4 linked regions of the Astyanax mexicanus genome follow. The main gene of each other region encodes a partner of the protein of the gene in region 2 in a complex. Links are inferred from orthologs where the notes say so. Each region holds a gene or a part of one and is shown on either strand. Other genes may lie near its edges. The genes, in order: lamtor2, lamtor1, lamtor4 and flcn.

Region 1 (7,189 bases), on a different chromosome or scaffold from region 2:
TATTGTCATTTAGAGCATTTATTTATTTGCAGAAAATGAGAAATGGCTGAAATAACAAAAAAAAAGATGCAGAGCTTTCAGACCTCAAATAATGCAAAGAAAACAAGTTCATATTCATAAAGTTTTAAGAGTTCAGAAATCAATATTTGGTGGAATAACCCTGGTTTATAATCACAGTTTTCATGCATCTTGGCATGTTCTCCTCCACCAGTCTTACACACTGCTTTTGGATAACTTTATGCCTTTACTCCTGCTGCAACAACTCAAGCAGTTCAGTTTGGTTTGATGGCTTGTGATCATCCATCTTCCTCTTAATTATATTCTAGAGGTTTTCAATTAAGTGGTCTCTTTTTTTTTCCTGAGCTGTATGATGCATTACAATTTTTTGCCAATGTTTTGTTAACTGTCAGTATCAGCTTATACAATCAAATTTTTTATTTGGTAATTTAGTAGTCCAGTATGATCAATGAATAGAATCTGAATGGACCCCATCAGCAAAAGTTTGGCATGCTCAGCAATGGGTTATTAAGTTAAGTAGGAGGTGATCATTTGTGCAACTGCTATAAAATCATAACAATTAAATATTATTTAAACATTTTAAAAGGCAGTAGTGTATATAAGAAAAAAAGCTTTATTTGCTAAACAAAACTTTTCAAATATACTTCAAATATCATGTGACAGGAGTTTGTGAATTGATAATGAAGTGGGAATTCAGACACCTGTATAATTTGTGAGGTGTTACCTTGTGAGTTAGGATGACTACTGGTCAGCATGCTCATGGCAAGGCGCTTTGATAGTGGGTAGAGGAACTCCAGACTACATTAATTACACTTGAAATCTACAGAATAGATGTCTAAACAAACAAGCCACCCACAAACCGCAAGTATAAATAAATAGAAACTGTAAACATAGGACCGTAAGTTGATTTTTGATTTTTTTGACAGTTATTACCATACAGTCCATGAGAATAAACTTCAGCTTGTCCTCGTTGAAGGCTTGATGTCCGTTCTTATCATAGGCTGCCCAGATGTTGCTGGCAATAGCTGCAGTTACTCGCGCGTCTGTGTCTCCATAGCCAGAATAGGCCAGAAGTGACCCTTCATTATTTAGTAACCTAACACAGAAAGAAAGAAAGAAAGTGACATCGGAAAATTGGTTACAGCAAGCATCAAAACCAACACAACATCCGCTGTCCTGACAAGTTTTTGCCCAGTTAGAAGCCTAACAATGCAGTTTAGACCTTCATAAAGATACATTAATTCAAGGATTCAAGGAGATTTTATTGTCATTTGCATCACGTGGTACATGAGGTGGAACGAAATTGTGATCTCATGATCCAGTTTACACCCAAGAGCTGTTGTTAAAATAGATATATAGATAAAATAAGATAACAAAATAAAAAAAAAAACAATAAAAATAGAATATACCAAATAGTATGGAAGCCCATTCCCGCCACCTAAAAAAATAAAAAATAATCCAGCACATTTTTTTTATTATTATTAAGTAAACCGCTATATAGTAATAGTATCCATTGTGCGTCTTTGTCTCACCTGCCTCTGTCTCTGTACAGTATACTAGTATCTCAAAATATTGAGATAGTATATCAAAATAATGACTCAGTATCTCAAAAATAATGACTTATTATCTCAAAATATTGAGATAGTATTTCAAAATAATGACTTAGTATCAAAAAATATTGAGATAGTATGTCAAAATAATGACTTACTTTCTCAAAATAATGACTTGTGTCAAAATATCGAGATATTGCAGTTTACTTAATAATAATAATAAAAAAAATGCTGGATTTTTTTTTTTTTTAAGTGGCGGGAATGGGCTTCCATAAAATAAAGATAAAGATAAATACCCTAAAAAAAAGTAGACAATTAGCAGCAACAGTACATCCTACTACATTTTTTTATGTAGCATGATAACACAGCACTGCTACTGCAGAGTTCAGAACATTTCCTCTTTATACATTTTTGAATGTGGAATATGGAGCTACACTAACATTTACTTCCTCCATTAAAGCTCACTTTTAAACTTAGTAAGTCAGCACATACAAATAAAAAATAAAAAATACAGGGAAATACCTGCATTTAAAGTATTTGAATAATGATATGATTCATAATTAAATAACATTTTTTTTAACAAATGACACCTATTATATATAACTTAATTTAGAAAATATAATACTGATGTGATATTTACACAAAAAAAATATATATATATATTAAAAGCTTAGCCTTACGGAGAAAAAAAGTTTAAGTAATCGCAATTTATCACTATTATTAATAACATTTACTACAGCAACAGTTTCTACACATCTAGGGTGGCTTAAAACTTGATGTTATATCATATAAAAACTATTATTCGCAAATTTTGTTAAACAAAAGCTTTATTACTTTTTATACCTTAATACTTGACACTAGGTTGACCATTTAATTCCCATTTAATTTATATTATCTTTACTAAAGCAAAACAGTGATGTGAATGTCTTAAATTACTTTATTTGTTGTATAAAAACAACCTTTAGTACATTAACTGGTTTATACTTAACTAGGTTAGATAGGTTAGCTAGCTAGCTATGCTAAGAAGATAAATTAATCAGAAACAGAAGCGCTGCTTACTTAACACTGACACTATCATATCGATTGAAGCAGATTTAACACGTAAACAAACATTAAACCACATTAATAAACTGATTTCACTGTGTTTCTATATATTTATCTCACTCTGAACCTATACTAGCTAATGAAGCTAACGAGTTAGCTTAGCAACCTTAGCCACAATATTTCCACATCTGCGGTAAACGGAGCGGATAATACTCACAGCGTGCTCTGGACTCCGTTAGTGTTGGCCTGGCTGAGCACCTGAGTTAAAGCTTTAGGTCTTAACATGATCAGAAAACCCAGTAAATCCCTCAAAATACTACAGAAACCAGGACTTTTACAGCAGCCAGCATTAACTTACACACACACACACATCAGCTGACTAACACACTTCCGCAACACAGGCACGAGGGGGATTGTGGGAAATGTAGTCTTGGGCCCAATAAGCGTAGATAGTTTATTCATACAATTATATACTTAAACTAACGAGTACAAAAAGGTTTTTTTTTTTTTTAATGAGCATATATAGTTAAGTATGCACCTTGATAAGTAAACTAAATGAGTATAAACAGTTTGTTTTTAGCTTAATAAGTACAGATTGTTCATTTATGCACCTTTATAATTAAGATATTTCATTTATGCATCTTTATAATTAAACTAAAGAGTATAAACAGTTTGTTTTTGGCTAAATGAGTATAGATCAATCATTTATGCGTCTTCATAATTAAAGTAAAGAGAACAAACTGTTTATTTTTTATAAAATGAGCATAGCTAGTTCATTTATGTGTCTTTATAATTCAACTAAAGAGTACAAACAGTTTGTTTTTGGCTAAATGAGTATAGATTGATCATTTATGCACCTTTATAATTAAACTAAAGATTTCAAACGATTTATTTTTGATAAAATGATCATAGGTAGTTAATTGATGCACCTTTATAATTTCACTGAAGAGTTTAAGGAGTTTGTTTTTTATAAAATGAGCATGGATAGTTTACTTCCGTGCCTTTATAAATAAACTAAAGATTTCAAACTGTTTATTTTTTATAAAATGAGCATAGGTAGTTCATTTATGCATCTTTATAATTAAACTATAGAAACAGTTTGTTTTTGATAAAATGATCATAGGTAGTTAATTTATGCAGCTTTATCATCAAACTAAAGAGAATACACAGTTTGTTTTTGATACAAAAAAGAGTATAGACAGTTCATTTATGCATCTTTATAATAAAACTAAATATAAAAAGGTTGTTTTTATTGAAATGATAAAAGATATGTAGATGAAAATAGCTGATCATAAATATTGTATATACAATGCTGTAAAAAAGTATTAGTCCCCATACAGATTTATGTTTTTTTGTGCTTTTTTTTATTATACTTACATTTTCAAACTAAGTTTAATATCAGACAAAGATAGCATGAATAAACATAAAAAGTACAATGTTTTCTCCATTTGTGAATTATAGCTCTCACTGTGGTCCTTTTCCAGACTGATAGATGATCAATGGCTTTGCAATTTTTGGAAAATTTAAGTACATAGTATTGTAAATGTAGTGATAATTATAAGTATGACAAAAAAGCAAAAACAACAGAAATCTGTAAGGGGCAAATATTTTTCACAGCACTGTAGTAGGGGATATAAGCATGTCCTACTGTAAAGCTATATTCTTGGTTTTCCTTTTAAATGTCTCATATCCATTACTTTACTTGTGTTTAATTTTTTTCTGTACTGTGCCATTAGGACTGACACACTGCTGATGTCATGGAAAAAAAATAATTTCTGTTGTTTGGACCAAGAGAAATTCTCCAAAATCATTTTGAATTTAATAAAATCTTTTTACTTTGACTTCCATTAAAGTCCTGTAAATATCCTGAAGGAAACATTCCTTCAGTGTGAAACACTTGAAAATTGGTTGTTTTTAAGACCGTTTAATGGTTGTGCCAAAGGTACCTTAGTCTACCTCGCCTAGCTTAATGTTGCGTGTACAGTGTCTCTTCGGTGTCAAACAATAGAGAAATAATGCAGGTTTTTTTCTTTTTTGCCAACCTTTTGGCCAAGCAATTGCGTGGTTTGCGTGGTGGTAAAATCCGCCCCTTATTATGGGCCCTATTTTAGCGATCTACAGGTGAGCCTCAACCATGCACCGCACAGCTTAATTGAGGGCATGCCAGTGTGTTTTTGCTATCATAACATTAGAAAAAGTATGACATGTACTAATTCTCTTAAATTGATTAAGAGCAGGTGTCACTTGCCTTTCCCTTTAAGAGTCAGGTGCACTATTTCAAGGGTGCATCTCTTCTGCGCATCTCTTTAGAGGAAACTGACCTGCTCATTTACGCTGTGAAGGTAAGCCAGCAATTTAACAGGAAAATCAATTATATTTTTTTTCTTGATTTTGTTTATTGTTGATGTAAAGGTTGGGTTTGTGCACTGCAGCTGTGTGTAACAAATAGTGTATGTGTGCTGAGCACACAGAATGCACCCAGAGTTGCTAAGATAGGTATGGACGTCTGACTGGTGACTGTTGACAGGGTTTAAATCAGTCAGTGGAGCACCTGTGTTTGCCACTGCCAAGATAGCAATACACCAGATATTTACCTGAACACACCTCACTTCCAGACCACCACGCCCATTGCCGTAGATATATTCTTAAACTCTGTTGCTATTTTAGTGACACAGGCTGAAAAAAAGACTGTTGACGGGTTGTAAGATAGCAATTAGCATCACTACGCACTTTACACAGAGTGTAAGATAGAGCCCTATATGTTATATGTAACTAATGACTTCTTGACGTGAGTCACAAGACAACTGTTGAACAAACTGGGATTCAAAATTAGGGTGGATTAGGGTGTAATTTCAGAGACATGTACTAGTGCTCACACATTAACGCATTAATTCTAATTTAAAAGCAACTACCAGTAGTCGTAAGCCCAAGGAAATTAAACGCTAGAAGCTATTTAAACTAATGTACGTTTCTCTAAGCAGTTTTGGTGGCTTGTGCTGACATTTTATTCAGCTATTCTAATTATTGGTTATTCTATGTTCAATATAAAAAAATACTTATTTGAGGGACAATTCTGATATTTAATCTTATATATTATGTTTTGTAATACTAGGATACATGTCACAAGTCATGTGACAGTAGTATGTTAATGGATCAAGTGTTACCTCTGGGAATTTTGGAACTTGTGAATGCCCACATATGTATAAGTTGTGAGGTGTTATCTTGTGAGTGGGGTTGAATGTTAGGTAAAGTGAATTATGGGAATTGGAGGGAGGACTGATAGTGGGAGCAGATGGATGAGATATTTACCATTCCTTGATCTACAGTGTAGCAGGAATACATCATAAGCAGTAATTACCACCCCCAGTGGACAGAAAATTGCAGTGGGTGGTAATGCTGGTGTCCAGCAGCATCTGGCTTGAACTGTCTGTGTGAACAGTTAAGCAACTGTGGCATAAATCAATCACACCCATTTCAATACAGTATGCATATTAAATGCAGTGTCCTTTAGCCTCAATTAAACATTGCAAAAGTCATGGGACACAATACCAGTTCCATGACATTTGGCATGACTGCGTATACTGTACTTAAGCACTGCATCCTCAACCTCACTTGCTTGACAGGCTGCAAATGCCTGAGTTTGTATCCTTGTCATGTTTGAATGTTCTCTCACACTGCAGTACCCACAATGCATCAAACAAATACTCATATGGTCTATAAATAAAAATATGAGTGCATCTCAAATAATCTAAATATCATTCATATAGATATATATATATCACACAGAGTGATCTATTTTAAGCGTTTATTTATTTTATTGTTGTTGATTATGGCTTACGGTCAATGAAAATCACAAATCAGTTTCTCAGAAAATTAGAATATTATATAAAACAAATTGGTACTTTTGGCTGTGTACATAGTGTGCCAAGTCCTGCTGGAAAATGAAATCTACATCTCCATGAAAGTTAAGGTCAGCAGAGGGAAGCATGAAGTGCTGTAAGATTTTGTGGGAAAACAAACTTTAGACTTGATAATAAAACACAGTGGATCAACACCAGCAGATGACATGTCTCTCCAAACATCACTGATTATCAGTAAATTTTACATTTCATTTGTAAATCAAGGGATCAGAGGCTGGAGGAAGAGTGGAGAGACACACAGTCCAAGCTGATTGAGGTCTAGTGTGAAGTTTCTACAATCAGTGATGGTTTGGAGAGACATGTCATCTGCTGGTGTTGATCCACTGTGTTTTATTATCAAGTCTAAAGTCTGTGCAGTTTTGTTTTCCCACAAAATCTTACAGCACTTAATGCTTCCCTCTGCATCTGACAACTTTTATGGAGATGTGGATTTCATTCTCCAGCAGGACTTTGCACACTGCCCACACTGCCAAAAGTACCAACTGGTCTTATATAATATTAAAATTTTCTGAGACACTGATTTTTGGGTTTTCATTGACTGTAAACCATAATCATCAACAATTAAAGAAATAAACACCTAAAATAGATCACTCTGTTTGTAATACATCTATATAATATAGGAGTTTCACTTTTTGAACTGAATTACTGACAAAGTAA
Region 2 (7,442 bases):
GGATTGCCCAAAAAATGTTCTTTAAAATTGTCCTTTAAAAATATTTATTTTGATTTAATCACCATGTGGTAGAGGGCTCTACCACAAAGCAGGATTGGTCATTTAGCCAGATAACTTGAGCCTAAAGTCAAGTCTGTCCATTAATAAAACAGCTGAGGGGCATTCCTATTGGCCAGTGCTTAACTATGGGCTTTAGATGTCTGTCTAACTGAGAAAGTGTGCTATGTGTTAAATCTATCAGATTAGTTTAGTTTCCTCTGAGAGTCAGATGTAGTGCAGTGGGAGTGTAGTATCCTTACTTAACATTACTACATTATGTTATGAAAGGTGTTAAAAGCCTGGGCCACAAAAATAATAAAAGTTGACATATGATATGTAAGTAAATGCACTGTTTTTAACTTATTTTGCTTAAATTCTGTCTTCAGCACTTATTGACACTGTTTCCCAGACTAGCACTGGAATACACAGCATTTTGAACTAGGATTTTAATTGAAAGGAAAATATACTGGAGAATAGTCTATACAACTAGGATTGATCCCTGTCTGGGTTTGGAACTGGAAACTGGAAAAGTACAGAAATTAGTTATTTAAAAGTACTGTGGACACACATTGAACAGCCACAGTTTTTTATTATTATTATTATTTTATTATTTATTGTTGTGTTTATTTACCATAAAAAAGTGTGTTTCACTTAAAATATTAGTCCTCCTTATTTTTTTTTGTGAAAATGCTAATGGGGCAGTTTTCTTGCCAGGGATTAAGACTATTCTTAAACCCTGCTATGTGTTAAATCTATCAGGTTATTTTGTTTCCTCTGAGTCAGATGCAGTGCAGTGGGAGTGAAGTACCTGTTTGCGCAGCTAGAAAGAGACAGATCACAGTGTGTTTATTCAGTAGGTTAGTGAGGGAGTGTGGAATGCAGTGAATTTAGGTCTGTAGATTGTTTTTTCTCCAGATGTTCTCCAGCATTGGTGGTATAGTGGTGAGCATAGCTGCCTTCCAAGCAGTTGACCCGGGTTTGATTCCCGGCCAACACAGATCTTTTAACTTTACAGTAACCAGAAGATTTAAATTCTGTTCTAACAGTTTACAGCTGTGCTTCAGCAACATATATATATATAGAGTGTCTGTTTTGACTGTTATTAAAGTGTCCTCACTTTCCTCCTCCGTCAGATGTGGCGTTGGAGGAGCCGAACACATCTGTACGTCCACTCAGGAGGAATCCGGATGGGAAGTTCAGCAGCAGTTCACTCAGACTCAACAATAACATGATTGTCAACCTGCAGGGCCTGACCGACACCCTGTCCACTCTCCTCTCCAAACCCCAGCGCCTCGCCTGGCTGGACCTGTCCTTCAACTTCATCACACACATTCACCCGGTACACACCAGCACACCTGCACAATACCCTAGTCATGCTTAAGCCCCACTCATTCAGGCTACAGCAGTTTACTCCCACTCATTCAGCTTACAGCAGTTTAGCCCCACTCATTCAGCCTACAGCAGTTTAGCCCCACTCATTCAGTCTACAGGAGTTTAGCTCCACTCATTCAGTCTACAGCAGTTTAGCTCCACCCATTCAGTCTACAGCAGTTTAGCCCCACTCATTCAGTCTACAGCAGTTTAGCTCCACTCATTCAGCCTACAGCAGTTTAGCCCCACTCATTCAGCCTACAGCAGTTTAGCCCCACTCATTCAGCCTACAGCAGTTTAGCTCCACTCATTCAGCCTACAGCAGTTTAGCTCCACTCATTCAGCCTACAGCAGTTTAGCTCCACTCATTCAGCCTACAGCAGTTTAGCCCCACTCATTCAGCTTACAGCAGTTTAGCTCCACCCATTCCACCTACAGCAGTTTAGCCCCACTCATTCAGCTTACAGCAGTTTTTAAATGAACTTTATTAGAAATTCTAAGCACATACAAAGTTAAACATCACAACAAGATGAAGAAATATATACAAGACAGCAATTCACATTCAATAAAAATGTCATTTCACACAGTTTAGCCCCACTCATTTAGCCTACAGCAGTTTAGCCTCACTTATGCAGCCTACAGCAGTTTAGCCCCAACCATTCAACCTTCAGCAGTTTAGCCCTCTCTCTCTCTCTCTCTCTCTCTCTCTCTCTCTCTCTCTCTCTCTCTCTCTCTCTCTCTCTCTCTCTCTCTCTCTCTCTCTCTCTCTCTCTCTCTCTCTCTCTCTCTCTCTCTCTCTCTCTCTCTCTCTCTCTCTCTCTCTCTCTCTCTCAGGTCCTTACAGAGCTCTCAGAGCTACGGGTGTTGTATCTTCATGGTAACAGTATACGTAAGCTGTCAGAAGTGGACAAGTTGGGGTCGCTGCCATACCTGCACACCATCACTCTGCATGGAAACACTTTGGAAAGCGAGCAGGGCTACAGGTACAGGCTTTCTGGTTACACTTAAGATGGCCCTGATTCTCTAACAGTTAGGACTGCTGTGTCTGCACCGTATGAAGCAGTATTTAAGGTGGAACCAATAATTTAGTAATTTCCAGTGATTCATTGATACATATATTTTGAGCCTCTCTTAAGATTGTGGCTCTGTCCCAGTGAAGCTAAATTGTGCCTACAAATACCATACAAATATAGAAAATTACTGAATTAAATAAATTAGTAAAGACCAGAGGTACACTATATTGCCAAAAGTATTCTCTCACCCATCCAAATCATTAAACTTAGGTTCCAATCACAAAACCAATCACCTAGACATGCGTGGTACCGTGATAGGATGCAGCACCTGTGCAACAAGTCCAGTCTTGAAAGACAGCCATGCAGACAGACTCATGCACTGGAGACTGAGCAGCTCCATACAAGCTTCACATCACCAAACACAGCAATGCAGGACAGCAGATACTTTTTTTCTTTCTGAAACTGGATTAGCCACCTTAGTCTGTATGTCTGTTTTAGTTTTTATTTAAGATTTAAAAAGAAAAGTGTGAAGAGCTCACTGAGTAACTCTGATTTGTTTTCATTTTCATTTGTACCTGTCTAACAGGGGATATGTGATCTCTGTTCTTCCTCACCTGAAGATGATGGACTTCAGCGCTATTACTAAAGAGGAGAAAATTCTGGCCTCCATTTGGCAACGAAGCAGGAGGAGCCGTGGAATCACTGATCACAGAACAGAAGGTTAAGGCGTCTCAGTGGAAACTAGTCTGAGCATGAAATAAGTCTATTGTACATTAAAGTTTTCAGGACATTCTTCTGCTTACTAGAACAACATTGTGTGCCACTTTTTCCAGCTGTAATAATGCATATTTGTGTAGCAGAACAACAACACACACTGAAAGCTAGCCAACATAGTGGAGGTAGCTTCACACACTGTTACTGTAGCTAAGATCCCAAAATAAAAAAATACACTCTCTCCATATACACTAACATGCCAGATGTCATGTCATTTCTGGCAGAATATCTGTCTAGTGTGGGTGGTGATATCACCTTGCTGTTTTGGACACAGGTGGATTAGAAACACACTGTAGATGTGATGTTAATACAGTCTAGTTAAATTTTATGTTGGCTGATATTTGGTATTTTCTACATGTTATAGTGTTATATAGTGTACAACTTTAAAGAGTATTATAGTACGTGTTAGTGCTTAATATAATATTATACAGAATAGTAGAACATTATATAACATTATAAATAATAAAAGAGTCTTAAAGCTGTATAAAGCTTTATGAAACCTTACAGGGCTATATAGAACATTATACAACTAATGTTGAATAATATTTGCTTTAAAGAGAGCAATATGTTTTTTAGAACATTACAGAGCTTGGAGGAAAACAACAGCGATAACTTTTTAGATCATTATAGCGCTTTAGAGAACATTTTAAGGCTTTATAGCACGTTTAATGTCCTTATAAATGTTTTAAGACCTTTATAGAACATTGTAGATCATACAATGTAAAATTAGTTGTTAAATTAGTGTCTAAACAAATAAATAAACAAACAAATGTCCCTGATAGCAAAAGGACGATAAGTCATTGAAAATTGATTTCTTTTAGGCTGATTCAACAGTGATTCAATGTTATATTTTTATGTGTTGTTTTATTAAATATGTATTTTGATTGTATTTCTATGCAGTGTAAAAAGGGTCATTTAAATAATAATTATTAATATTACTTTTAGTGTGAATCACCTTTGACCTCTAAGTTTTTTGAGTGTAGATTTAGATTCAGAGCCCCAATCATTCTAAACATTTAAATGAACGTTGATTCAATGGTAGAATTTAAATATTAACCGATATGCCTATGAGGCAATGTTATATAAAGGTTATTTTTACACTTGTTTTCCCCATCAACCTTAGAAAGATTCAATGCAACAAAAGAAAACAGAAAACAAAAACGTTTAAAAAACGTTGTATGGTATCAGGGGTTGCACTGTCACGCGCCTCCTAGGCGTAAGCGGCAGTAGTCCTGGTGTAAGCAGGGTGTCATGTGATAGTGTATCCGTTAGCAGCCAAGAGCAGACACACACAGCTCCAATCCGGATTCTTCACTTTTAAAACGCTTTGAAACGGTTCGGATCCGGTTCTACAGCCCCTGCAGGAGAAGCTGGAGACACACTGAGCCCATGGGGTGCTGTTACAGCAGCGAGACGGAGACCAACGACCAGGTGAGGGAGCAGCTAGCTGGAGACATAGCTTAGCTTAGATAGCTGGCTAACATGCTAACAGGCTAACAACAGACGCTCCTGACCTCAATTATCAAGTTTATTAAAGAGTGTAAAAGATTAATGAGCGATTTATAGGAGGGTTAGAGAGATTATACACGAGTTCTGTGCATTTGGTTGAGCTGTGAGGTTAAATCTGGTAGTTTAGAGGGGTGCTAGTTAGCTTAGCTAAGGTGAAATAACCTGGGATAGGTTAGCCTAGGTAGTTTGAGCAGGATGAGGTGTGCTGCCAAAATTAGTAAATAGCTAAATATCTATAGTTAGTACGGAGCCCTAGATGGGACATTGTCTATTTAAGTTAGGTTAAAAAAATTGGTGAGCACTAGATAATAAGTGGTGGGCACTAGATAATAAGAAGCACAGCACAACGTAGCAGTCTGTGAAGTTATGTAGTTAGCTACAGACCAAGGAACATAGTATCTGGTGCTCGCCACTTAGTGTACACTTAGTATATTTGGTGCTCACCACTTAGTGTATATGGTGCCCACTACTTAGTAACTGGTGCTTTTGTAGAGAGAGTTTTTTGAGGTTCAGACTTCACTTGTAGTACATTGTCCTCCATTAAACCAGGAGTTTAGTCATTAATAAAAAAAAAACACATTTTGTCTGTAAAAAATCTACAAAAAAAACGAGTCCTCAAGTCAGTCCTGCTGGAGAAGAGAGGGAGAGGGAGATTTTCAGAGAAAACACTGCACTGACTTTGGACTTGATATAACACAGTGGATCAACACCAACAGATGACATGCCTTTCCAAACCATCACTGATCATCAGTAAATTTTAAATTTCATTTGGAAATCAAGGGACCAGAGTCTGGAAGAAGAGTGGAGAGACACACAGTCTCATCTCATCGGCTGGTGTTGATCCATTGTGTTATGCCAAATCCAAATACAGTGCAAAGTGTTCCCGGAAAAACTACCAGCTCTTCATTCTTCCCTCTGCTGACAACTTTTATAAAGATACATATTTAATTTTCCAGCAGGACTTGGCACACTGCCCACACTGCCAAAAGTACCAATTGGTCTCATATAATATTCAAATTTTCTAAGACACTGATTTTTGGGTTGTCATTCGCTGCACGCCATAATCAACAATAAAAGAAAAAACGCTTAAAATAGACAATTCTGTGTGTAATATGTGTATATAATGAGTTTAACATTTTTAACTGCATTACTAAAATAAAGTAACTTTTCAATGATATTCTATTTTTTTGACATTCACTAGTATAGGTATTTAGTAAAATAGCTAGTGTCCAGTAATGCAGATATACAGATTGATATATTTAGTAAGGTGTATAAAATAAAAGAAACAGCTGTATGTGCACTGTAAATGTGCTTTACATCATCAGATGATGCTTAAATGTGAAGCGCTTTCATATTCGAGGACTACAGTTGCAAAAAAAGTATGTGACACCTTTGGGATTACATGGCTTTCTGCATAAATTGGTCATTAAATCTGTTCTGCTCTTCATCTAAGTCACAACAAGAGACGAACGCAGTCTGCTTAAATGGTTTTGGATTCACACAAATTTATAATCAACATTGTTAATATAGAGTAATCATTCCAGCCCTTCTTTTTGACCAGGCTATAAACAAGAAGTGGAAAAAAAGTGTCAGGTTTAGTCACAGTAGGAGTGCGTATGAGTGTGTGTGTCTCTGTCTGTCTAAGTAAGACAATAATGACCACGAGATGCATGGTTCTGCAGGGTTCTGCTCCTCTGCTCTGTATCAAAGTTCAGCTATAGATAGCCTGGGCTGTGGTTTACCTGCCAGAAAGTGGGGCATGTTTGGGGAGGAGGAGGTCTGGGTGTGGGGAAGTGTGCTGGAATGTCTGGTGAAGTAACAGGTGCCCTGGTGCAATTCAGTAACGGCTGAAGGAAGTGCGGAAGAGTTCTCTCTTAACAATTCTTTTGTGTTACTTGGGTGGTTGTGATTTCTGTAGGGATGTCAAATATCATATCTTTCACGATAAAGCGATTAAGAAAATTCACATTTTGATCATAGAGCTGTTCTGTCTTAAAAGCAGTCTATTTTGTATTGTATAATTGTTTATGCTTGCAATTATATGCATGCACAAAAAAGTCTGCACCTGACTATTGTCTTAGATTTTTATTACTTTACAATTATTTTTATGGTACGTTTCATTATTTTACATTTATTATATTGTTTACAAAATAGAGAAAAGCTTACAGATTTCTTTGTGTATTGAATGTTTAAAGGTGTTATATTTATGCAAAATAAAACTAAAAGATATAATTTGTTGCAGTAGTATGTCTTGAAATATGTTGAATATGTTTCTGTGTTTTGTCTGTCATAATGTCAAGAATATCGTTGTTGCAAAATGCGATATTTTGAATTGTAACCCCTGTATCTTGCTAGGGAGTGTTTTTAAGGGTTGTTAATGTTTTAATATGTTTGTTTGTAGATTTGCAAGGGTGGCTGCTGTGATATCTCTGATAGTTGCTGGTATTCAGCTATTTAATTGTGTTCTAAACAGTTTCTGTAATAGTTCAGGATTGTTTAAAATGGCCAGAATCAGCCACAATTTGCAGATTTCTTGACAATCCATTTTAATCAGGTGTGCTTGAACAGGAAAAGCACAAACTATTTAGGACTTGGATTGCCTGTTCCTGTTGTAAGTGGTTGCTATGGTATCTCCCATTATTGCTGTGGTTTGCTAACAGGTCATTATTCCGTTCTGGGCTGATTTTTATTCTGTTGCTTGGCAGTTTCTAAGTTGTTTCTAGATGTTTGTTGCAA
Region 3 (7,490 bases), on a different chromosome or scaffold from region 2:
ATTATTTTATAATATTTTATTCTACCTTTTAAATCAACTCCAACAACCCACAGAATGGGCTCAGCACTGTTAATAAAACACATCACGTCTCAGTTACTTCCGGGCTGACCCATCTAAGAAAACCATTTGCTTGCTTCCCCCTGCTACCCACCAGCACTTGCAATAATACTTTACTCAGAACATGAACATAAATTAGCAGAAGCAATATTAAACAGCAAAACCGAGAAATTAGTTCATGATATTACTTTTAAAAAGCAGTAATTTAATAAAGGTTTGTTAAATACAGACATTAGCTACTTTCACTTCTGGAAGAGCTGGAACAAACAAAGAATAAACAGCCTGATCTTCAGGGCTGTATAGATCATCAAACCCACAGAGAAAATTACACATATCTATAATAATAAAAGATCAGTGCCATCATCCTCAGAAAAAAGCAGAAGTGCCTCTGGATTATGTGGACAACTGGACATAACCCAAAAGATGTCATATACTTATAAAAGGGGAGCTTAATCAATTCAATTCGTTTTAAAAAGTAGTTCAAATAGGTTTTGCAAAAGTGAGACGCTGTTACAGTCACTGTGAAAATGTCACAGATATGTGCAATATTTCTGTGAAGTGTGAGAACAATTATATAGACCACATTTTCATGCCATTTATTACCACCAGTTGTGGGGGAAAATGCAACTAGAAAATGAATCCCTAACTGTAGACAAAAAAAGCACACTATAAGAATTACAGTATGACTCTTCTTAACTTTACATTGTTATCATGTTATATATGTGTGTTATTTAAACAGATGGCACTTTACAAGCGTGTGTGTAGTCCGTTAACTTGTAACGGCACCTCGCTACTAGACATTAACAGGTTCCCGTTGGTTGTTCTGCCGTTTCACTACAAAGACTTTCTGTCCAGAAATCGTCACTGCATAAATATAGTCCTCGAACATCACTGTGGACAAAAAATACAAAGAGTGTGATATTACAACATTATTATTTGTGTAAAACCAGTCATTAACTATGCATTGAATCAACTAATGATTTGAAACAGGATAACTTTAAGCAGGTTGCTCTGTGGTTTGGGCAGGTTTTGGACAGACCTTATCATTCAATGTTTTTATTATTTTGTTTTTCCCTACGTTGTCATTCAGACTATGAAGGAACACAGAAGGAATCATGTAGTAAACTTAAAAGTGTTAAACAAACCAAAATATTGTGTGAATCGTTTAGATGGGTGCTGTTAACTTGCAATTTCTTGCAGTGCAACAGAGGTAACTTTTGGTCTTCCCTTCCTGGGGTGGTTCTGATGAGAGCCAGTTTCATCATAATTTTTTCGATGGTCTTTGCAACTGCACTTGAGGATACTTTCAAATTTCTTGGAATTTTTCAGATTTAGTTCAAGTATTCAACATAAAGTATTTTTATCTTTACTTAGTTGAGTATTTCTTGCCATAATATGGAAGAACTATATGGCTATTCACTTTAAACATCTGATACTCTCAAACACATTAAGAGGCAAGAAATTCATGTAATTAACTCTTGACACGTTCAGCACAGCTGTTAACTGAAAGCCATTCCAGGTGATTCTACCTCATAAAGCTGACTGACAAAATCCAGCCAAGATGTGCAAAGCAAGAGCAAGAGTGACTCTGAGGAATCTAAAATATAAAACATATTTTGGTTTATTTAACACTTTTTACTAAATAATTCCAAGTTTTTCTTCATAGTTAAATTTAGTATTAATCTACAAGGCAGATAATTTTATCCTGATAAAAAATACACTAAATTTAATGTGTGTCCAAACCTTTGACTTTCAAACCTTTGCATATACAGATGAGGCTCAAAGATGACCAACAAACTTTGCAGCACCAAAGAGCTTCTCTCTCTAACTTTACATCTACACGGTGAAGCAGCTAGGTAGAATTGTTTAATAGAGTGAACATAGAGTGTCATACCAGCGAAACACACACTAACACACCATCACCATCAGTGTGATGCTGAGAATGATAATCTGATCATTGAAGAACAGTGTGAAAGGAGGCCGACACAATATGCAGAGAAACAGATGAAAAACACAAGCCATTAAACTAAGCTGAACTGCTTGAATTTTGAAGTGGTCTTTGAGAATCTGAACCCTGGTATACAGAGATTTATGGTCATTCAAAATCTCTAACCTGACATGCGCTTGAAAGGTGGCTCTGCTGCTCCATGAAGCCTGAAGCGACAAGCTGTTCGGACCATCTGCATGATAACCCCTGCGGTGTGCTCATCGTTCTCCAGCTCTCCTGAAGACTGAGAGGGAAAAAAGCACAGAAAAAGCCTCCTGTGAACTCTCAATTTAATGCTTATGTTCTTCAGCTCTGTTAAATTTGCTACAAGTGAAAAAAAGTCATTTTTTTGTGTACATATAGTAATGAGTAACACTTACTGCAAGTACACCATCCTCACTGATCACCAAATATCCTATCTGATCAGGTATTCTCTCCAGACCCTGAGTCAGTGCTGTGGTCTTCAGTGGAGAGAGGGAGAGGGAGAGGAAGAGAGAGAGACAGAGAGAGAGAGAGAGAGAGAGAGAGAGAGAGAGAGAGAGAGAGAGAGAGAGAGAGAGAAAATAGGACCAGCTTTATAACATTAAAACAACTTCAATCTCCAGAAGACAAACAGTGAATAAAGACACTATGTGTAACTACTGGATGTGATGTGTTGTTTAGGGGCTGTTTCAGGAGCAGCAGAGAAGAGTGAAAGAAAACTACAGAACTACAGTTATTAACAAAACACACACAGCTGACAGCTGACTACACACCCCGGAGAGCTTCTACCAACAGAACACACATCAGAGAGTCTCTATTAAAGAAAAATCTACTATTTAAAAGAGAAAATAAAGCAAATTCACACACCATGGTCGGTCCTCCCCTCAGGTCAGATCAGGAACAGATACAAACGATTATTATTTTCCGTCTTGTGTCTCTCACGTGACGCTGGAGGCTTCTTCTGTAGTGGTGAGTCACATGGTGTGTGAACACATCGCCGCCTACTGACATAAAATCATCTCCTACTACTACTTTGTGAAGTATCTTCAGTTTTTTTGTTCTACGTGCAATCAACTCGAAATAAAATAAAATAAATCAACTAAAATAAAATAATAAACTAAACTAAACTAAAACAATAATAATAATATAATATAATATAATAATAATAATAGTAATAAACTATAGTAAAATAAACTAGTAAAAAAAACAAAACAAGCAAAACCAAATAAGAAAATAAACAAAAATAAGAAAGAAAATAAGAAAGAAAATAATTAACTTAACTAAACTAATATAAAATAAGAAAACAACAATATAGTAAGAAAAAAATAATAATAAATAAAGAAAATAAAAGGAAAAACTAACTAACTAAATAAAAATAAATATAAATAAATGAAAAAAATAAACTAAAATAAACAAAATAAAAATAAATAAACAAGCAAAGCTTAATAAGAAAATAGATAAAAACAAAAAATAAATAAAGAACACTAAAATAAAAAACAAAATATAAAAAAAATAAAATAAAATCTAAATTCTATTTATAAAGCACATTTTACAACAACAAACTCTGACCAAAGTGCTGTCCAGTAATAAATAAGTTAATGAACACATATATATGTATATACATGTATATAAACATATATTTGTAATCATCTATTTATTTGGTGGGTGTCCCTTATTTTCATTTCTGATAGGTGGCGACCCTTACTACGGAAGAACACTTATTATATTTTCATTATGTATGTTCAAGTAATCATACTGTAAGAAATTTAATGAATGGGACGGCAAATGTATGAAAATTGCCTATTTGGTTGTATATAGATCAGAATTTGGTCCTATAAAACAAGAAAATCAAAGAGTTATCATATCAGACCACTAAATTAATAAAGATCCCATTCTCATGTTATAATAGCTAATGTGATATTACTATAGCATTCTGGAATAATGGGACGTTAAACCTAGAAAAAAAATGCCCATTTGGTTTTGCATAAACCAGATTTGGAGTTCTATAAAACCAGCTAATCAAACTGTTATTAAAAGATACCATTACATTCTCAAAGAAGCCTTTCTATTCTACTAATGACATAAGTATCAAGTATTACTGTAGCATTGTGGAGTAATGAGAGCTCAAACTAAGGAAAAAAAAGTGGGTTGGGGCACCACAAAGAATTTTGCCTAGGGAGCCTGGATGGCTAGCCCTGGCCCTGGGTCTGTGCATTCTGGAGTAATGCCCTGAGTAGTATCTGGCAGCAGCAGTGCTGGTGGTGTTGAGTCTGATCTGAGATCAGTCAGCTATTTTAGCTCTGCTGTGGAAGGTAAAGCGGAAGTGCTGGTCAGCTGACTGCAGCATATGATCCAGGGTGAAGACAGCAGCAGGAGTAGGCGGATAGATTTCTGTCTGTTATTTGCTGATATTTCTTCTCACCGCCGCGATCCGCCATGGCTGGACGGGGTAAGCTGATCGCAGTGATCGGGGATGAGGACACCTGCACGGGCTTCCTGCTGGGGGGGATCGGAGAGCTCAACAAGAACCGTAAACCCAATTTCTTGGTGGTGGAGAAGGACACCAGTATCACAGAGATAGAGGAGACCTTCAAGTAAGACCTTATTTTCCTCCTCCTGAGCTTCACCAGCGCCGCGCTCTGTTTCAGTCTTATCTCACCGTCCTCAGTCTGAAATGTTTATAGAGGAACTGATTTAAGCGTCGATCGTTTCCCCACTTTAGCCGTATTAGCTATGCCAACTAGCATGCTAAGCTAGCTTTATAGGCGCAGCTAAGAGCAGTAGCTAAAGGGTGCTAAACCTGCTTTAATTTACTGTTACTTGTGGGTTCGACCCATGTGTCTTTAGTTTAGTGTAACATATAGATATTTAATTAACTATTGAACGGTTAAAGAACAAATAAACTAGCAATATAAAGGCAGCTAGCCTAGCTAAACTAAAATAATCTGGGTTAGCTATTAACCTGTATGTCAGTATCCATATATACAGAGTATAGCAGTATTGTGAAGAGAGGGCTCTATAAATAAACTGGAAGTGCTTATTTAAGCATAACGTTGACATAGGTTGTCGATAAGTTAAAATGTTTTGTCAAAACCATTGTGTGTATATATATATATATATATATATATATATATATATATATATATATATATATATATATATCAATCCCCTGACCTAAACCCAACTGAGATGGGTGCAAATTATCCAATACTAAGTATCTTTTTTTTAAAGAAAGAATGTGTGCCCTTGCATTCAATAACTACTGTGACCCCTCTGAGCAGCTACAACTTCAAACATTTCTGGCAGCCCATTTGGTGTATAATTCTGCACAATAATCTGGGGAAATTTTTGGCTATTCCTCCTTACAAAACAACTTGAACTGAGTGATGTCTTGAACAGACTTCCTCTTTCCTATTCTGCCATGTACAAAGTATTTGCTTAGTGTTTGCCTGATGGAATCATGACATTTCTCAACGTGGTCTTTTCATTTTAATGGAGAGAGCTGCAGCCTGCCACAGTGCACTGTGTTGCACCAAAAGCAGCTTCATTGTATTTCTAAAAGCGTTCTGTAGATGTTAACCACAGCAGTGTAAATAAACATGCTGGACAGTGTAACACAATTAAAGATGATGTCCATTCACCCTATTGGTTCCCTGCATAATGTTATATAAGATATTTGTTGTAGATCAAAATCTGGTTTACAAGTATCATTTATTTTGTTTATTTATTGAAACAGGAGTTTCCTGGCTCGCAGTGACATTGGCATCATCCTCATCAACCAGTTCATTGCAGAGATGATCCGCCATGCCATCGATGCCCATATGCAGTCCATTCCCGCTGTGTTGGAAATCCCGTCAAAAGAGCACCCATACGACGCTTCCAAGGACTCCATCCTGCGCAGGGCCAAGGGCATGTTCTCTGCAGAAGATTTCCGATAAGAAAAAGAACTGAAAGAATTAAGACCTAGACATGGCAGGAGATGGGAGAGGAATAGCGCTAGATGAAGAGCAGCTGATATTTGATGGATTTCTCTCCCATATCTTGCCTGAGTTGGTTTAAATACAGAATACTTCTGTAAGTGTTAATGTGTATGTTATTTAGTGTCTTTGTCTGTTATGTTGGATAAAGTGAAATGGGGTAAGTGTGTACCAGTGATCGAACACCTAACTGGATTGTGTAACTTGTGATTCTGTGATTCCAAATATTTTTTCAGTCACATTTAAATTATAAATGGTATATGTAAATTATAAAATGATATAATCTATAAATCTGTAAGTTTATTTATTTAGACTGAGCTGTCAAACATTCCATTTTACTTACAGCAACTTCCATTTAGGAGTGTATAATCAAATTATGAACAAATATTAATATTTATACAATTATTAATCAAATATTATACATATTATTATATACATATATTAGGTGACCTGATGATAATACATCCTGCTTTGTTTTGTTTTTGTATTTGATTAATCCTTCAATATTACTTCATGTCCATACATATGTGCGTTAACTTATTTGTTAATAACTGCAAGAGAGAGTCTCATGTTCATTAAAGAGCATATGTCAAATCTGGTTTCATTGTGACAGTTTTTTCTTTTCTCACCAGAAATTTGTGCATTATTTTGATTTCTTCCTAGGCCCTAAAATAGATTGGATGGATAACTTTAATACTTTCGGATACATTTCGAAAGGAACTGATGCAATCATTGGAGAAAGGAAAAAAATAGCTTGTTCACGAATAAGAAACAAAATGGTCTGCATTGTGGTGCAAAATATGGTGTAAAAATATTCTAGATCTTTTCAAGACATAACAATGAGATGTAGTTGGATCAGGTTGCTTCTCTTCAGTAAAGCAAAACCCCCGGCAATACCACATAATACATTCATACCAGTGCCACACACAAAATTAACACTACTATTTTAGTGTCATTCCTGTATGGAAATGAACACAACACAACACTTACCTGTCCTATCTATGCATTGTATGTGAGCACCAGTATGGAGACTGACAAAGCTCTTGCTGTGATTGACAGTGATATGCATGTATCTAGAAGTTCATCTCTGTATGCTCTTCTTTCATCACTGATGATATTGCTTCTTTGATGCACTTTGCTGCACCAAGTAAAGAGGAGCCTAACTTTACCTACACTACACAAGCTGTAAAACTGGTTTTTACATTTCATGGGAGGCACCAACAGATTCCAAAAACCCATTTCTTTCTCCCCTGTGTTTGGTCAGCTCTACTGTACTGTAAATAAAAACATGAACACTTTATTATATAAGAAAACATCACAGCTTTGTTTATACACTTGTCCATTATCAGCTTCACTGATTATACAGGAACACTGTAGTTCTACGATTACAGACTGTAGTCTCTCGGTTTCTCTGCACACTTTATTATCCTTCTTTCAGACTGTTCTTCGGTGGTCTGGACCCCATAGGACAACCACAAAGCAGGTAT
Region 4 (7,568 bases), on a different chromosome or scaffold from region 2:
CTACAATTATAAATGGAAATTAAAGAACAAATAATACAAAACAATAAAGTAAATTAAACCCAATGTGTTTATTAATATATTCTGTAAATTTACTTCTACTTCTCCTGGTTTTTAATGTGCTATTGTGAGTTAACATACAATATCGGGGCCAATATTGATGTAATCAGGGTGTCAGATATCGGGTGACCGCGGTCTATCCACTTACCGATACATACTACAGTCCGCAGCTTGAGCTGAACAATAAACCAGCAGTAACATAAACACTAAACGCATCACTGATCCGGATTCCAGTTTAACAGTTTACCCTGAACCTCTAGCAGCTTTAGCTGTTTGTCTTTAAAAAAATCTGGAGAGTTTAACACCAGCAGTCTGTTAGCCTAGCTAGCATTAAACTGACAACTGCATTCTGGTGTTGTAAAGATATTAACTACTGGAGTAAACTATAGACGTAATCTACATATCCTATAAAACCACAGGATCTACAAACACTAACCAGCACAAACACACACACACATCTGCTGTTAAAAACAGTGATTAATTTAGTTCGGAAATACAGTTAGCATCGCTGGTTAGCCGTTAGCCATCTCCATTAACATCTGCAGTCTGTTAGCCTAGCTAACATTGCACTGACAGCTGCATTCTGGTGTTGTAAAGGTATTAACTACAGACTGTAAACTGTAGTCATAATCCAGATATCCCATTAAACCACAGGATCTACAAACACTAACCAGCACAAACACACCCATCTGTTATTAAAAACAGCCATTAATTTAGTTAATTTATTGCAGCCATTGCAGCTAATCCACTACGCTACGTGCGAAAATAAAAGAGTCCTGCGCGACCAGTGCAAAAAAGATTAGTCTAGAGCCATGTATTTAATATTTAACACATTTCATATTGAACTTTTTTTTTATATTTGATAAAAATTTAAATATTTAATTTGAAAGAAAACTATTGTGTGTTTGTATATAAAGTGCGTGAAATAAATGACTTTACATTAAATGCACTTGTGTATACACTTCAATTGGCTGTGTGGTCTGTTTCAGCATTATTATGTAACCTTAATCATAGTACTAATAATAAACTAAAAGAGCCCTTTTATCTGTATTTGTATCTGTATCGGCAGTTTTATATCAGTTTTATATCGGAATCGGATCAGAGCTCAAAAAGGTGGATTGTCCCCTCACTAGTTAGTACGGAGCCTTGAACTCATTCATTACTCTTGGTTTTGATATCTAAACTTTAGATGAGCAATTATCCACCAACCTTTGGCCACGCAAGTGTATATAAACTACTTCACAGCCTCTCTCACCTCACACATGTCGGCTCTCTGTGTGGCAGAGCTGTTGGCCCTCATGGTCAGCCCCTCTCCCTCTCTCTCTGCCTCCCGATCGCCCAGCAGGGCGGACCCCGGCTGAGGGGGCGAGGGGGCTGGTGGATGGACGGCCTCGGTGCAGAACAGGGTCCGGGGCCCGTGCAGTTCACAGAAATGGCAAAGAGCAACCAAAGCATTCATCTGGGGATAAACAATAAACAACGTGGTGGTTCTAAAATGGCCCAGTCCGTAGAATTACATTTTATGGGTTTCCAATAAAGTGGCCACAGAGTGGAAGCAAATAGTAGGTTTTTTTTTTTAAATAAAGTGGACACTGAGGAGAAGCACAAGGTACTGTAGTAGGTGTTTCTAATAAAGTGGCCAGAGTGAGTGGAAGCACAAAGTTCTGTGGAAGATGTTTCTAATAAAGTGGACACAAAAAGTTTAAAAAAAAAGAAAAAAAAGAAGGTACAGTGGGAGGTGTTTCTAATATAGTGGCCACTGAGGTGACGCACAAGGTACTGTAGTAGGCGTTTCTAATAAAGTGGCCACACTGAGGTGACGCACAAGGTACTGTAGTAGGCGTTTCTAATAAAGTGGTCACAAAAAGTGGAAACACAAGGTACTGTAGTAGGTGTTTCTAATAAAGTGGCCACACTGAGTGGAAACACAAGGTACTGTAGTAGGTGTTTCTAATAAAGTGGCCACAAAAAGTGGAAACACAAGGTACTGTAGTAGGTGTTTCTAATAAAGTGGCCTCAAAAAATGGAAACACAAGGTACTGTAGTAGGTGTTTCTAATAAAGTGGACACAAAAAGTAAAAAAAAGAAGGTACAGTAGGAGGTGTTTCTAATAAAGTGGCCACTGAATAGAAGCACACAGTACTGTAGTAGGTGTTTGTAATATAGTGGCCACTGAGTGGAAGCACACGGTACTGTAGTAGGTGTTTCTAATAAAGTGGCCACTGAGGAGAAACACAAGGTACTGTAGTAGGTGTTTCTAATAAAGTGGCCACTGAGGAGAAACACAAGGTACTGTAGTAGGTGTTTCTAATAAAGTGGCCACTAAGGAGAAACACAAGGTACTGTATGTAGTAGGTTTTTTAATAAAGTGGCCACACTGAGGTGACGCACAAGGTACTGTAGTAGGCGTTTCTAATAAAGTGGCCACTGAGTAGAAGCACAAGTTACTGTATGTAGTAGGTAACAAAGTGTAAATCATGTTTACGTACCTTATTTACTGTTTCTGTAACACCCAGACTTCTGAACAGGAGGCTCCTCTATTCCTGCGCTCTGTTTATCAGTAATAACGCGTTTAATCGCCTCTCTGATGAGCAGACTTATTAATTAAACTGTGATTATTAGGATGTAAATCAGGTAACAGAACTCAAGAGTGAGTTAATCAGCGTTAATTCACCCAATAAATAAAAACTATAACAGCAGAATCACCACAGGTAATGCTCTCACAGGTGATAAATCACAGTACGACCACATGTTACTGCATTCTGCCCGCTTTCAGGCCGTCCCCGCAGATTTATAACGTTAATAATTCCCCCAAATTCACAATAAACTCTCCATTACTCCATCTTCAGACCCCTCTGTCACGTGACGAGCAGTCACGCGCTTCCTCCATAACAAAGCGAACAGCTGCAGGTCCGTGAAATGACTCTCCCTTCAAAATAAAAGCCCTCTTGTAAACTATTATTATTTAAACAAAATTAATTCGTTTTAGAACTGATTACAGCAGCACAAAGAAAAGCTCAGGTAGGACTCTGTGTAGTAAAATTTCATTATGGCGCTAGTGTGTTTTTTTATACTTTTTAAAAATATCTTTTAAAATACGCTTGCTAATTTGACAGATTTTAGTTATTTTAGTTATCATAAATCCAGTAAAAAAAATAAAAAACATGTTAGCTAGCAAATAAAAGTATCTTAACCTCCCTGTTTTATTACACTCTGTTTTCTAAGAAATCACACTTAAAAATACTACTGTGGAATCAGTAAATTATTAAACCTTCATTTCACTCGGGAATATATTACACTTTCTGTAAATCCTATAAACTTCATTTCACTTCACAGTTGTCACTGTGTTCGTCTGCTATATGATATGTTTAACTGAAATTGCTGATCCTAACAACCAAAGATTTCTAAAGAAAAATCATAAAAATGATCAGGGGTGCCCAAAGGTTTTCATACCACTGTAAATGGAGTTTAAAAGCTTAAGAAAATATGTGTGTAGGAATAAAACATGTAATATTGTTCTGAGTTGAGAAAATAAGTAACTTACAATTTTCAGTATGAAAAATTATTAAGCATTAATAAAGTATAATTTTGCTACATTCATTTATTTTAAACTCACTCTGGAGCGCCCTCTGGTAGACCAGCAAACCTGGAACACATTCTCGAGTGGGAGTTCTCCTCTCTGTACAGTTTCAGCTAAAACACGTGTCAGGTATCCCGTCAGATGATGTCATTGTGAAATATTCCCCTGGATCTAATACACACACACTTACACGCTCACACTAGCAATCATCAAACTCCCTGGTTACCGGCTCGGTGTTTAAGGTGAGCAAATCCACACCGAATGGTAACGTTAACTATAACTGTTTTTGGTGTTATTTTTGCTTAATATTTTAATATATAGGTTATATAGTCGAAGTTTGTGTAAAAGTTAGCTTCTTTTGGAATTGTCCGTCCCACCTTAAATGCTTCAGCCGTTACACGTTGGGTCTCCAGGAGTTGGTACATATCCCTTGCTGTATCCGCTGCTGCTTTTAAGGTGGAAGTGAAAATTGAACAAGAAACTCATTTAATAGCTAGTTAGTTGTGACATTACTAAAACATTTAACAATGTTTATCACTCTCATAAGGTGCTGTTTATTGATGTACCCTTATTGTAAAGTGTTACCAGTATTTTACTTATTTTTGTAAACATATATAACTATATATAGCGTATACCACCAGCAACATTACGTTACCTTAACCTAGTTAGCTAGCGTTAACTCTATTTTTATTTAGTTAAATATTTATGCTCTAACTTATATATTTGTTGATTCTAGATGTTTACACCGGTGTAACTTTTGTTAATGGTCGTATATAAAACATTTTAAAGTACGTGAAATATTGTTTTTATTTATTTTTTTATTTATTTTTATAAGGGACTTTTATGTATGCATTTAGACAGCTTTTGTAAGAGTCGGTTTTTAAGGTAAGCGAATCCGCACCGAATTCTAACGGCAACTATTGTTTTTGGTTGTTGTTTTAAGTTAATAACAACGTTGTATATGTTATATAGTCGAGGTCAGTACGTTTAGTAGTGTTTTCACCCTTAAATGAAGCTAAAGTTCTCGTTGGAATTGTCCGTTCCACCTTAAATGCTCCAGCAGTTGCACAGTGGGTCTCCAGGCGTTGGTACGTATCTGCTTCTGCGTTTAAGGTGGACCTGAGAGTTCAAACAAGGAACTCAGTTTAGACCTTTTACCTTACCGTCCTTTATTATATGACTGCTTTACTGTCAATGAATAATCATCTGTGCTTCTATTTGGATGTTTTTTACCTAACGTTACTTTCCTATTGAAAGTTTAGTCGTGTTTGTCTTTTTGGGTTCAGTTTTAATCTCTTCCTCCTTATGTAACACCCTGAAGTGTGTTTAGACTATTTCCAGTTCCTGTTTTAGGAACTGTCAGGAATAACAGGCCTTTATTTGAACCTAGATCAGCTCTGGCCTCTGAGGTGGACATCCCCGTGGTTTCCCAGATTACACCATCTGTCATGGAAGAAGAAGGACCAGGGAATCCCCTCATAGAAGATCCACACACCCAAATAGGTCTTTCTTTACAACCTATACAAACCCTCACAATATCACCCTGTATGTATGCTGTTGAGCACTGACCTTTTGGCTCAAGGACCAGTTACTAGATATGCCATTATTATGAGTTGTTGTTGTAGTAGTAGTAGTAGTAGTAGTAGACACAATATTAATACTCTACCCTGGATGTGGAGTCGGCTTGTCTGAAAGTGGGTCAGGCTGGCATCAGCAAAAAACCTGACCAATCACAAGGTTACTAACATAGCCTTGCCCCCTCTCTTCGAGTCTGAGCAACCAGAATCTGTGAGTTTGTGAGCTGTCGCTTAGCAACCGTTTAAGCAAAAAAATAAAATCATTCACTAGCATTTGCTACATATTGAACTCACTAGGAGATGGCCAAATGACTTTGAGCGGACACTACGCTCAGAAACACTGCTTCATAAAAAAGCAACAAAGTTTGTGTGAAACTTTTTTTCATTCTGTCACTTAAAACACCCCCCCATTTTGTTATGGTATACATGGGAAATTCAAGCATACCTTGTCTGTACGCTACATTTTGATAGTGATGAAACTGGCTCTCATCGGAACCTTCCAAGGAAAGAAAGACCAAAAGTTACCCCTGTTACACAGAATAAGTTTCATATATTGCACTATTTTTTTAATGGGGAGCAGTTCTGGATGCAGATTCTATCTTGAGGTAGAGTGTTGCCATGGTAATGTAAACAAACATTTGTTTGCCACACCCACACCGGTCTCTGAAGAGAGGTGTGAAGAGAGGAGTGCGTTTTGGTGATTTGTGGGGAGTGTTTTGTCATATTCTTGCTTTGTGTTTTCTATTTTAACTTTACTATATGCTTCTCAAAACACACACATTTAGTATTTAACAATGTTACCAGGGGCTTTTAGTAATATTAACAGAGCAACATAGGTTTGATAATGAGTATTAAGAATATTACACGTGTGTTTGTGTGCGCCATTACCATTTCATGAACTGTCAAGAGTTCAAAGGTCAGATAGGTATGTCCTCACCTTGTATCATAAAGTTAAATAGGTAAACTCTACTGAAGTCGTTTCTGAATGTGAAGCTCAGTTCTTTCAGTGCTTTTACAGATTCTGGGGTGGGCTGAAAAAGGAGTGAAGGTTAAAGCTGGGATTAAAAACTCACAGACAGTATAATTCCACTTTCAGACACACCCAATACTTCTGTGCTGTGATTCACACTGTGTCTACAAATGTGTTTTATTATAGACCACTGAAGTTGTGTCGTAATTTTTTAGTCGGCACCATGTTGTTTTTTCCCATATTTAGGGTTCTGTGTCTAAGAATTTCTGTTAAATGGAAAAAATGTATGGGCTTTTCAAAAATTGGCCTCTTGTCACATTATGTGGCAAATAAATATGTTCAGAACCCTGTATGTTTTATTCTATGTACATTTTTTCTCCTGAACATCACTGGATCCTCTGAATTTCAAGATTATTTAAGAGTAGTAATAAGAAAAATGCTAGCTTTAAGCTAATACTTAACTGACGTCACAGCACAGCAGCAGTGAATGCTAGGGGACTCGATTCTGCAGTACACCAGCGAACTCCGGCTGGATCGTGTTTTGGATTATTCTTCTTCTTCACAGAGGATCATTAAAGCGTTTAGAGAGGTGAAACTCTTTCAGTATAGTGACGTTGAGCAGTGTAGTCTGTGTTAGAGCTTTAAAAGGCAGATACTAAGAGAGAGTGGCTCTCAGTTCAGGAGTAGCGCTTCCCAGCGGGTTTAGTATTTAATTAGGGTCATTACTTTATACTAATTACAACACATGACCCAAATAATCAACCAACAAATAACTAATCAACTAATCAACTACCTATCTGCTGGCTGAGGCGAGCTGAGTGATAAAGCAGGAAAACTAGCAGGAGAGAGTTACTCCAAAACCACAGAGCTAGCTAACTATCTAAGAAACCAAAGAGTCTAAAATACTTAAGATAAAAAACCTTAATATGTGTTTTTTCACTGAATCCTATTATATGGACAAACCTTAACTTGGCTTAAGGTACTAAACCAACGAGACAGAAACACCAAACATTTTTTATTTATTTCACTGCATAATAAAGAGAGTAAATGTTAAAACATGCTACAGTGTTTAAAGCTGGCTCCTGGAGTATCACTGTCCTGTTTTAGTGATTTCCTGCTGTAACACTCTCAGCTCTCTTCAGTGAGGGCAGTTAGTTCATTAGTTGGATCAGCTAAGTTTAATATGATGTAAACTTATGGCCAGAGTTCTCTGGTGTTGTGCTGAAAAAAGTCCCCTGCCGATCTTTGCAGCTGCACTGTAGCATTAGCTTAAAGCTAGCATTTTTCTGATTACAACTCTTAAACAATCTTGAAAATCAGAGGACCCAGTGTTGTTCAGGAAGAAAATTTACACAGAATAAAACGTACAGGGTTCTGAACATAT

Evidence for each region.
Region 1: lamtor1 (region 2) and lamtor2 share a complex: the UniProt entries of both Homo sapiens proteins name them as parts of the ragulator complex. The link is inferred for Astyanax mexicanus from reciprocal best matches to the Homo sapiens genes LAMTOR1 and LAMTOR2.
Region 3: lamtor1 (region 2) and lamtor4 share a complex: the UniProt entries of both Homo sapiens proteins name them as parts of the ragulator complex. The link is inferred for Astyanax mexicanus from reciprocal best matches to the Homo sapiens genes LAMTOR1 and LAMTOR4.
Region 4: lamtor1 (region 2) and flcn share a complex: the UniProt entries of both Homo sapiens proteins name them as parts of the lysosomal folliculin complex. The link is inferred for Astyanax mexicanus from reciprocal best matches to the Homo sapiens genes LAMTOR1 and FLCN.

The regions. Positions count from the first base shown.
Region 1 is NC_064408.1:115,893,925-115,901,113, reverse strand, and holds the start of lamtor2 (ragulator complex protein LAMTOR2), read right to left. Parts: upstream 3,012-7,189; 5' UTR 2,898-3,011; coding exon 2,830-2,897; intron 1,115-2,829; coding exon 952-1,114; intron 1-951. UniProt on the Homo sapiens protein: As part of the Ragulator complex it is involved in amino acid sensing and activation of mTORC1, a signaling complex promoting cell growth in response to growth factors, energy levels, and amino acids.
Region 2 is NC_064425.1:12,520,699-12,528,140, forward strand, and holds the start of lamtor1 (ragulator complex protein LAMTOR1), read left to right. Parts: upstream 1-4,422; 5' UTR 4,423-4,586; coding exon 4,587-4,628; intron 4,629-7,442. Other genes in the region: lrrc51 (leucine rich repeat containing 51), read left to right, coding at 1,173-1,378, 2,245-2,393, 3,010-3,148. UniProt on the Homo sapiens protein: Key component of the Ragulator complex, a multiprotein complex involved in amino acid sensing and activation of mTORC1, a signaling complex promoting cell growth in response to growth factors, energy levels, and amino acids.
Region 3 is NC_064409.1:35,731,703-35,739,192, reverse strand, and holds lamtor4 (ragulator complex protein LAMTOR4), read right to left. Parts: upstream 3,022-7,490; 5' UTR 2,897-3,021; coding exon 2,894-2,896; intron 2,506-2,893; coding exon 2,425-2,505; intron 2,289-2,424; coding exon 2,171-2,288; intron 949-2,170; coding exon 851-948; 3' UTR 2-850; downstream 1-1. Other genes in the region: atp6v1f (V-type proton ATPase subunit F), read left to right, coding at 4,463-4,620, 5,763-5,964. UniProt on the Homo sapiens protein: As part of the Ragulator complex it is involved in amino acid sensing and activation of mTORC1, a signaling complex promoting cell growth in response to growth factors, energy levels, and amino acids.
Region 4 is NC_064413.1:8,017,673-8,025,240, reverse strand, and holds the start of flcn (folliculin), read right to left. Parts: upstream 3,021-7,568; 5' UTR 2,547-3,020; intron 1,517-2,546; coding exon 1,313-1,516; intron 1-1,312. Other genes in the region: leng9 (leukocyte receptor cluster member 9), read left to right, coding at 5,086-5,140. UniProt on the Homo sapiens protein: Multi-functional protein, involved in both the cellular response to amino acid availability and in the regulation of glycolysis.